Saccharomyces cerevisiae S288C: one gene and its partner. The protein of the gene in region 1 interacts with the protein of each later gene in a pairwise test. Each region holds a gene or a part of one and is shown on either strand. Other genes may lie near its edges.

The links.
Region 2: the proteins of WHI2 (region 1) and PSR1 interact in binary tests that used the Saccharomyces cerevisiae proteins (3 or more experiments, as listed by UniProt).

The regions. Positions count from the first base shown.
Region 1 is NC_001147.6:408,975-413,533, forward strand, and holds WHI2 (Whi2p), read left to right. Parts: upstream 1-1,895; coding exon 1,896-3,356; downstream 3,357-4,559. Other genes in the region: ubiquitin-binding protein CUE5, read left to right, coding at 1-686; IRC23 (Irc23p), read left to right, coding at 4,033-4,506. UniProt on the Saccharomyces cerevisiae protein: Plays a role in the coordination of growth and proliferation. Required for entry into G0 phase under conditions of carbon limitation.
Region 2 is NC_001144.5:128,272-132,393, reverse strand, and holds PSR1 (phosphatase), read left to right. Parts: upstream 1-1,780; coding exon 1,781-3,064; downstream 3,065-4,122. Other genes in the region: DRS1 (putative ATP-dependent RNA helicase), read right to left, coding at 1-665; copper metallochaperone COX17, read left to right, coding at 980-1,189; rRNA-processing protein SOF1, read right to left, coding at 3,402-4,122. UniProt on the Saccharomyces cerevisiae protein: Has phosphatase activity in vitro. Involved in the response to sodium and lithium ion stress (but not to potassium or sorbitol stress) by inducing transcription of the sodium pump ENA1/PMR2.

The DNA.
Region 1 (4,559 bases):
ACAGCTCACATTCCCGTCGTCGTAATCGTGATCGCGCAACTAGAAGCATGCATGAACAGCGCAGAAGACGTCATAATCCGAACGAAAGGGAGCAACATCACGAAGACAGTGAGGAAGAAGATTCGTGGTCGCAATTTGTAGAAAAGGACCTGCCAGAGCTTACGGACAGAGCCGGTCGGTCATTACAGGACACAGCAAACAAAGTTAGTAACTGGATAAGTGATGCTTACCGGAGAAACTTTGCGTCAGGTAATGAGCAAAACGACAACCAACATGGTCACCAAGATCAGCAAGAATGGGAGCCAGAGATTGTGGATTTGTCACAAGGCGGGAAAAATTCAAGACCCCAGCAACCTGAGAGAAGAAGATTCAATTCGTTTGGCGTTCAAGTCGGTGATGACTCTTTAGAAAGCCACGGAATCACACTACACAACGAAGATGGATTTGAAGATGATGAAGATGTGCCACCTCAGTTACCAACGAGAACAAAATCTGGTGAGTCGACTGGAAAAGTAGTGGCAGAGACAACCTACATTGATACTCCAGATACAGAAACGAAGAAGAAATGGCAGCCGCTACCACCGGAACCCCTGGATACTACACCAACTAAAGTAAACGCTGTTTCTAGAAATAAGAAAAATCCGGATGAGGATGAATTCTTAATCAATAGTGACGACGAGATGTAAAGCTGATATCTACGTACATGTGTATACGTGCCAATATTTGGACGCATCTTATTTTACGCGCTTGTGAAGAACTCACTACCTTCTTGAAGGAAGTAAGAAAAAATTTTCAGAATTGTTGATAGTCGTATATCTTCCATTATAACTATTGTTAGCTATTAATTCAGATAATGTAGATAAGATTGAAAACATAAATTCATCATAAAAAAGAATAGGTCTTTTACGGCACCCGTTCAGACACTTTGACACTTCAAAGTATATGCATCAGCACACTTCTGACCATTCTACGTATTGTAACAGCAACATGAGTTCTTTAAAACTCCAATTGACATTTTCGTAATGTGTTTTGCATATCATCTAAATTTCAATGACAGATTTAAAAAGTCAAGTAATTAAAAATTTTCATAAGCGTGCTTTTTTATAGTGCGAAGAACGGCAAAGGCAACCTTAAGAAAAAAAAATGATAGGTTACGTGCTATATCCGGAAAATAAAGAAAGATGAGTAAGAGTTAAAGAAAGAATTCAACCAACCTGATGGGTGTATGAAAATCCCGATTTTATATCGACAGCGCTAGCATGCATGAACAGTGTTTTGACGGTCAAGAAAAAACATAACCTCTGCATAATGTACTTACTTATCAAAACGTTGCAAATCTTGTATGTAAGAGGTGTTTGGGTGTTTTTTCCAAACGACCCGAAGGAGGGCAATTCAAAATAAAAAAAGCAAATTTTATCAGGAAGAGAAGATTTTAGTCAGAACGGGCCATGTTCAATGGCCAATTTCTTATGCTCTAGAGTAATAATTACTAAGGAGGAAAGTAAGACAAAAAACGGTCTATCGTTGTTTTAAGTTTACAGCATAGGCATAGTGATAGAGTGTGAGAGAGTCTCTAACTCGGCGTCAGTTTAGAGTCATTTTTTTCTTTTCTCCCCCCAAAGGTCATAAGAAGATAAGGATCCAAATTTAGAAGACAAAAAAAGTTTTGTTAGAACGTTTATCCCATTAAAAATAAGGGAAAAGAGAAACAACGTTATTTAGTGATTTTTTTAATTGAGAAGCATTTTCTCCAGTGATAATTTAATTGTTTTTTTATTCGGAAAAGAACAGAAAGCGCAAGAAGACAACTCCTTCACACTTAGGCTATTAATTTTCCCGCCTCCCCATTAATTGATAAAGATAAAGGTTGTCTGAGCTTACACTTATTATAAACAATGGACGATATAATCACGCAAGTTTCTCCAGATAATGCAGAGTCCGCTCCGATTCTACAAGAACAGCAACAGCAACAGAACTCACAGTACGAAGGTAACGAGGAGGATTATGGTGATTCATTGATTCATTTGAATATTCAAGAAAACCATTATTTCATTACGAGGGACCAGTTGATGTCTCTACCTGAATCCCTATTACTGTGTTTATTTCCCTCAGGTGTTTTTTTGGACCGTTGTGGTCAGGTCATTACTAATTTGACCAGAGACGATGAGGTCTACATTGTTAATTTCCCTCCTGATTGTTTTGAGTACATCATGGAGATATATACAAAAGCGCATGATGATTTGTATAATCATCCTGTGGAGAAATTTTTTGACAGACCATCAAGTAGCTTTGTTTCGAATGCAAAGGGATTTTTTGGACTGAGTAGCAATAATTCAATTTCGAGCAACAATGAGCAGGATATTTTACATCAAAAGCCCGCTATTATTGTTTTGAGAGAAGACTTGGATTATTATTGTGTACCTCAGGAGGAATTTCAGTTTGATTCCACTAATGAAGAAAATAATGAGGATTTATTGCGACATTTTATGGCTCAAGTGAAAATGGCTGCTGGCAGTTATTTAACTTCAAAAACATCGATTTTCCAAGGTTTGTATTCTTCGAATAGACTAAAGCAACAACAGCAACAACAGAAAATTGAAAAGGGGTCCAATTCTTCTTCAAATACTAAATCTACTTCGAAAAAATTGGGACCTGCTGAACAACATTTAATGGATATGTTGTGCTCCTCCGGATTCACCAAGGAAACTTGTTGGGGTAACAGAACTCAAGAAACTGGCAAAACGGTTATAAGTTCACTGTCTCTTTGCCGATTGGCTAACGAGACAACTGAAGGATTTAGGCAAAAATTTAACGAGGCTAAGGCTAAGTGGGAGGCAGAGCACAAACCTTCTCAAGACAACTTCATCACCCCAATGCAATCTAACATATCGATTAACTCTTTATCTGCAAGTAAATCTAACAGTACCATTTCTACAGCAAGGAATTTAACAAGCGGAAGTACAGCACCTGCTACAGCACGTGATAAGAGAAAATCAAGGCTGTCGAAACTAGCAGATAACGTTCGTTCGCACTCTTCCTCGAGACATAGTTCGCAGACCAGAAGTAAACCTCCGGAGTTGCCCAAATTGTATGATCTAGTGCCAAAACCTAATATCAACGCTAAGCTACTATTATTTTGGAGAAAACCTGCTCGTAAATGTTGGTGGGGTGAAGAAGACATAGAGCTAGAAGTGGAAGTCTTCGGCTCTTGGAAAGATGAATCAAAGAAAATCATTGAATTGATCTTGCCAACAAACGTTGATCCTGAAGCAGAACTACATAAAATCATTGTACCCGTCCGATTACATATTCGTAGAGTTTGGACTTTAGAGTTGAGCGTTATTGGGGTGCAGTGAGTGTATATAATATATTAGAGAAAGAAATGGAAAGAGATCGGGCCAAAGACACAATATGTAACAGTATGGTTTCTTGGTATCCCCTCTTTCTATTCCTCCCTTGTTACGAAATGATGTATATTTGTATCTCTATAACAAAATTATATGAACTGTCTCAAAGCACATGAAGAAGGAAAAAAGGTGGCGTCGAAGACTGCTAGATATTTCTCTTCGTATCTTCCCATCCCCTTCTGCAAATAACGGTTTTTCCATTGTCTATTTCAAAGTTACCCGCATAATAAAGTCGTACATTGTTCGAAAAATATCACTCAAAAGCAGCATTGATCCGGTATAAAACAATAGAAATTTTTTTTTTTTTTTATTGTTATAATTATTCTGACTCACGTCTGGATTTCGTTAGTTCGTCATTTTTTCTTAATTTCAGTAAACTGTGATCACGAGTCTGCAACATCATTATACACCGTATATCTGTATTATTAAGAATCAGGGTCTCCTTTTAATTTGCTGTTGAAAAACATCTTAAGGGAGTGTGATTGTCTGTTGATGTATACTAGTCTGGTAAAGCTAAATATTCTTATAAAAAACTTTTGGTAACCCATTATTACAGGAAACAAGATCCATTTATCAGATAAAAATTATAAAACATTAAGGAATCAGGACCTTTTTTTCGACAATCATGATAGAGGCGTTGGAAATAGTTCTATTGCTCGTTATACAATCACTTCAATATATCTGTCGCACATGCATAGCTTTTTTGCTAATACCATTCTTAGGCCTGTATGCATTCGATCTCTTCCTATACGTTTATCGGATGATACTTTATCTGTCACAAATGTTCAATTACAAGAGAAAACTAGGACGTTCTAAAACAAATAATAGGCCGCATAGTCCCAGGCTACATAAGATATACAGTAGTGGGGATTGCATGGATACCTTAATTGGCCAAGTAAGGGATTTGAGAGTATTTTTGTTATCCACGATCCACAGCCACTCTAAAAGATTCTTTTCTACGAGATTTCAGACAAAATCAGGCATTAACTCTGCTATTGACGCGAATGATGTTGAAACAACATCTGACGTATCTAGTTTTACAAATTTACATTTAACAAGGTCATCGGAAGAAGGTTATTATATCGCAGGATCGATATAATAAAAGAAAATATGGAAAACCCTTTCATGGGTGTTTGCACGGAATTAGGATCA
Region 2 (4,122 bases), on another chromosome or scaffold:
CCCTCAGTTTCAGGCGCATAGAAATCGGCTTTTGCCTCTTCAGAATCGTCTTCTTCATCTATTTCGTCATCTTTGCCGCCTTTTTCTAACGTCATCTCTTCTTGTTCCTCCTCTTCCTCCTCTTCCTCTTCCTTTTCCTCCTCTTCTTCTTCTTCTTCTGACTGATTTTCGTCTCCATTGTTCATGGGAGCTCCCATACCGAACCCGTCCATTGCTAATTCCTCATCGTCGCTATCGTTTTCTTTTTCTACTTTTTCTTTCTCGGTTTCTTCTTCTTGTTTACTATCAATATGGGCCATTTTCACCAGCCCACCTTTTCTTCTAATAATCTTATCCAAGTCAACGTCCTTCTTCACAAAAGCTTCGGCATCGTCCTTATTGGACTCGCCCTCTGCTAGAAAGTTCCAGCCTTGGAAGTTCGAAGTGGTATCATCGGCGTCCAAATCAAACTTAAACCCCGCGTCCAAGTCCTCATGAACATCCTCATCGAGGTTATCCCCCTCACTAACCTTTTTCTTGTTATTCTTACCCTTCCGCTTCTTCGTAGTCTTCTTAGCCTCGACTTTTTCGTCATCAGAAGAATCTAGAATTGGAACATCGTCTTCACTGTCACTGATTGTAGGGACAAAGTCCAAATTAGAGTATTTTTTAGTTCCTACCACCATAGTATATATATAAGACGCTGTTGTAGGCACACAGCTCCAATTCGAAACCCAAGTTACCAACGTAAATACTCATACTATCTAAGCATATTCTAACTTACAATTTTCAACCTCATCTCATCGCATTTTTTGAAAATTTTTTTTCAAATCATTACCCGGATAATGTTATAACCCTACCTATCTCCTTCAAAAAAAGATAAAATGACGATATATAGCGGCGAATCAGAATCTAGTAACCACCTAACTACTTGTCTCTAGTACAACTAAACAAAATTTTAGTGTACACAATCAGATAACTACACAATCAATTATACCCAATGACTGAAACTGACAAGAAACAAGAACAAGAAAACCACGCGGAGTGCGAGGACAAACCTAAGCCATGTTGCGTTTGTAAGCCAGAAAAGGAGGAGCGGGATACATGCATCTTATTCAATGGACAAGACTCTGAAAAATGCAAGGAATTCATTGAAAAGTACAAAGAGTGCATGAAGGGTTATGGCTTCGAAGTTCCAAGTGCAAATTAGTCTTACTGACAGTCTGCCGACAACCATTTCTTGTATATATAAGAATAGGTATTCACAAACTATAGTATATACTACCTGTAAATATGTGCGATGCACAATTAACATTACCTCATCACTACTACACCACTTCTACTGCTAGCACTGTCCTCTTGTGCTTGGCCCCTTAAGAGTGTTCTAAGACCACGTGACCAGAAAAGGACGTATCACGTGACACAAACCTAATAACTTTTTTAGGAAACCCTAAGTCAGGGCACGCTTGCTTTGTTTCTTTTTTTTCTGGAAAGAACGGAAAAAAAAAAAAGTCTGGGATTAGTTAGTGTATATTAAGTGAAAAAGTATAGAAATAGGTGTCGAGAAGAAGTGCTCGTTGAACCATACTGCTCACAATACTCTTTCATTGAACTCTTTATTACGTTGTCGTCAAGTACAACTCCTTCCTTTATCGCCTGCCTAGCCTATAGTCTGCTCTCTTCGTGTCATTCCTTATAGCATAATCAATCGCACTTCCCCTTTCATTGTGCGTTTATCCAAGCTTTTTATTTGCCTACATTCGTGTTCGTAAGCTTTAACAACAATAAGTAGCAAAACAGTATGGGTTTCATATCGTCAATACTGTGCTGCTCTTCCGAGACGACACAATCCAATTCCAATTCTGCTTATCGCCAACAACAGAGCAGTTCTCTCAATAAAAACAGAAGCGTTAAACATTCCAACACGAAAAGCCGAACCCGTGGCGTACATCAGACAAACTCTCCTCCTTCTAAGACAAATTCAGCCGCTACTTTCAGTTCCACTGAACGATCCACCGGTAAATCTGGGATAAGCACGAACGATAATGAAAAAAAGAAGCCATCGTCGCCGACTGCAGCCGTCACCGCCACTACTACTAATAATATGACAAAAGTAGAGAAGCGAATTAGTAAAGATGATCTTTACGAGGAAAAATACGAGGTTGACGAAGATGAAGAGATCGACGATGAAGATAACCGTCGCAGTCGTGGCATTGTACAGGAAAAAGGAGATGCTGTGAAAGATACTTCCAGGCAGAAAAAACAACAGCAGCAACAACAACAACAGTCACAACCACAACCACAACCCCAGTCACAGTCACAGTCACAGTCGCAGTCGCAGTCGCAGCAGCGAGGGCCTACTGTACAAGTATCGTCTGACCATCTTATCCAAGATATGAATTTGAGTAGGGTAAGTAGCAGCTCTCAAGCCAGTGAAACTTCCAACGATGCCGACGACGAAGACGATGAAGATGAAGAATATATTGATCTAACGCTTTTGCAGCAGGGCCAGTATCATGCACCAGGTTACAACACTCTGCTCCCCCCACAAGATGAAAGTACAAAGGGCAAGAAATGCCTAATACTGGACCTGGATGAAACCTTGGTACACTCTTCTTTCAAATACTTACGATCTGCGGATTTTGTTTTGTCTGTGGAAATAGATGACCAAGTACACAATGTCTATGTCATTAAAAGACCTGGTGTGGAAGAATTTTTGGAAAGAGTCGGAAAATTATTCGAGGTTGTAGTCTTCACGGCTAGTGTCTCTCGATACGGTGATCCTTTGCTTGATATATTAGACACAGATAAAGTCATTCATCACAGATTATTCAGAGAGGCTTGCTATAACTATGAAGGAAACTATATAAAAAACTTATCCCAGATTGGAAGGCCGTTATCAGATATCATCATTCTCGATAACTCTCCGGCATCTTATATTTTTCATCCCCAACATGCAATACCGATTTCGTCCTGGTTCTCAGATACTCATGATAACGAATTATTAGATATTATTCCTCTTTTAGAAGACCTTTCTGTGAAAACCTCACTGGATGTGGGCAAAATTTTGGATGTAACAATATAATGAGCACTTTCGCCCGAATTTCTTGTGGCCCCCGCTACCAAAGAATGAAGATGAAGAAGATGAAGAAAAGAACCAGAGAACAAAAAGTTTTTTCTTTTTTTTTCTTTTTTTTTTTGGCTCAACACACTGTACCCATGCTGTCCCTTGACATTTTTTTTTTCAACTTCTTCTACCATTACGACACAATGTATTCATATATAAATTCATAATCTAATAAAATGGTAATTTTAATTTAACGGGACTGGCGTGAACATTTATCAAATACATGTGAATTAAAAATTAAAAAAATGCAAATATTGTACATATGTGTATATACAGACAACATAAAACAGAATAACTACTTTTCTTGAGTATCACGTTTGTCATCTTCCTTTCTTCTTTTCCTATCTCTTCCTGAATCTTCATATTTGTGCACGGTACCAACGATTTGTTTCTTCCTTTCGGAAATGTATGGCATATCCTTTCTAGTACGCCTTTCATTAGCTTCTCTTCTCTTAATAGAACTCAACTCAATGTTCTTAATTTCCTGAGCCTTTTTGATGACTTGTGGCACGTGTCTATGTCTACTGATTCTTTTGATCTCCGGCATATGTCTAAATCTTTCTTTTAATTTTTCGTCATATTCTAATTTATTCTTTTCACGAGTAGTTTTGACATTAGACCTCTCCCAAGCTTTACTTCTCCATAGCCTAACATTCCCATCATCAGATCCACTGATAATATATTTAGAATCCATGGAATATTTAACCTGGAAAACATGCTGCATTCTCTTCGTATGATAAATTTCTCTCGAATGTCCGTGATTCGTCTTATATATTCTGATACTCTTATCGTACGAACCAGTAACAATCTCATCCCCCGTAGGAGAAAAGTCAACATCCATTACTGCGCTGACGTGATCTTTGAATACATTCAATGAACGTGATAAATTCCTCATATCATAATAGTAGGCGTTATGATCTTCATTGGCAGTTACAAAGTTGAAGGCCTCCATTGGATTCCAGCAAATAGCATTCGTCCTCATTGTTTGAACAATCTTTTGTGTGGGGGAGTTGGTT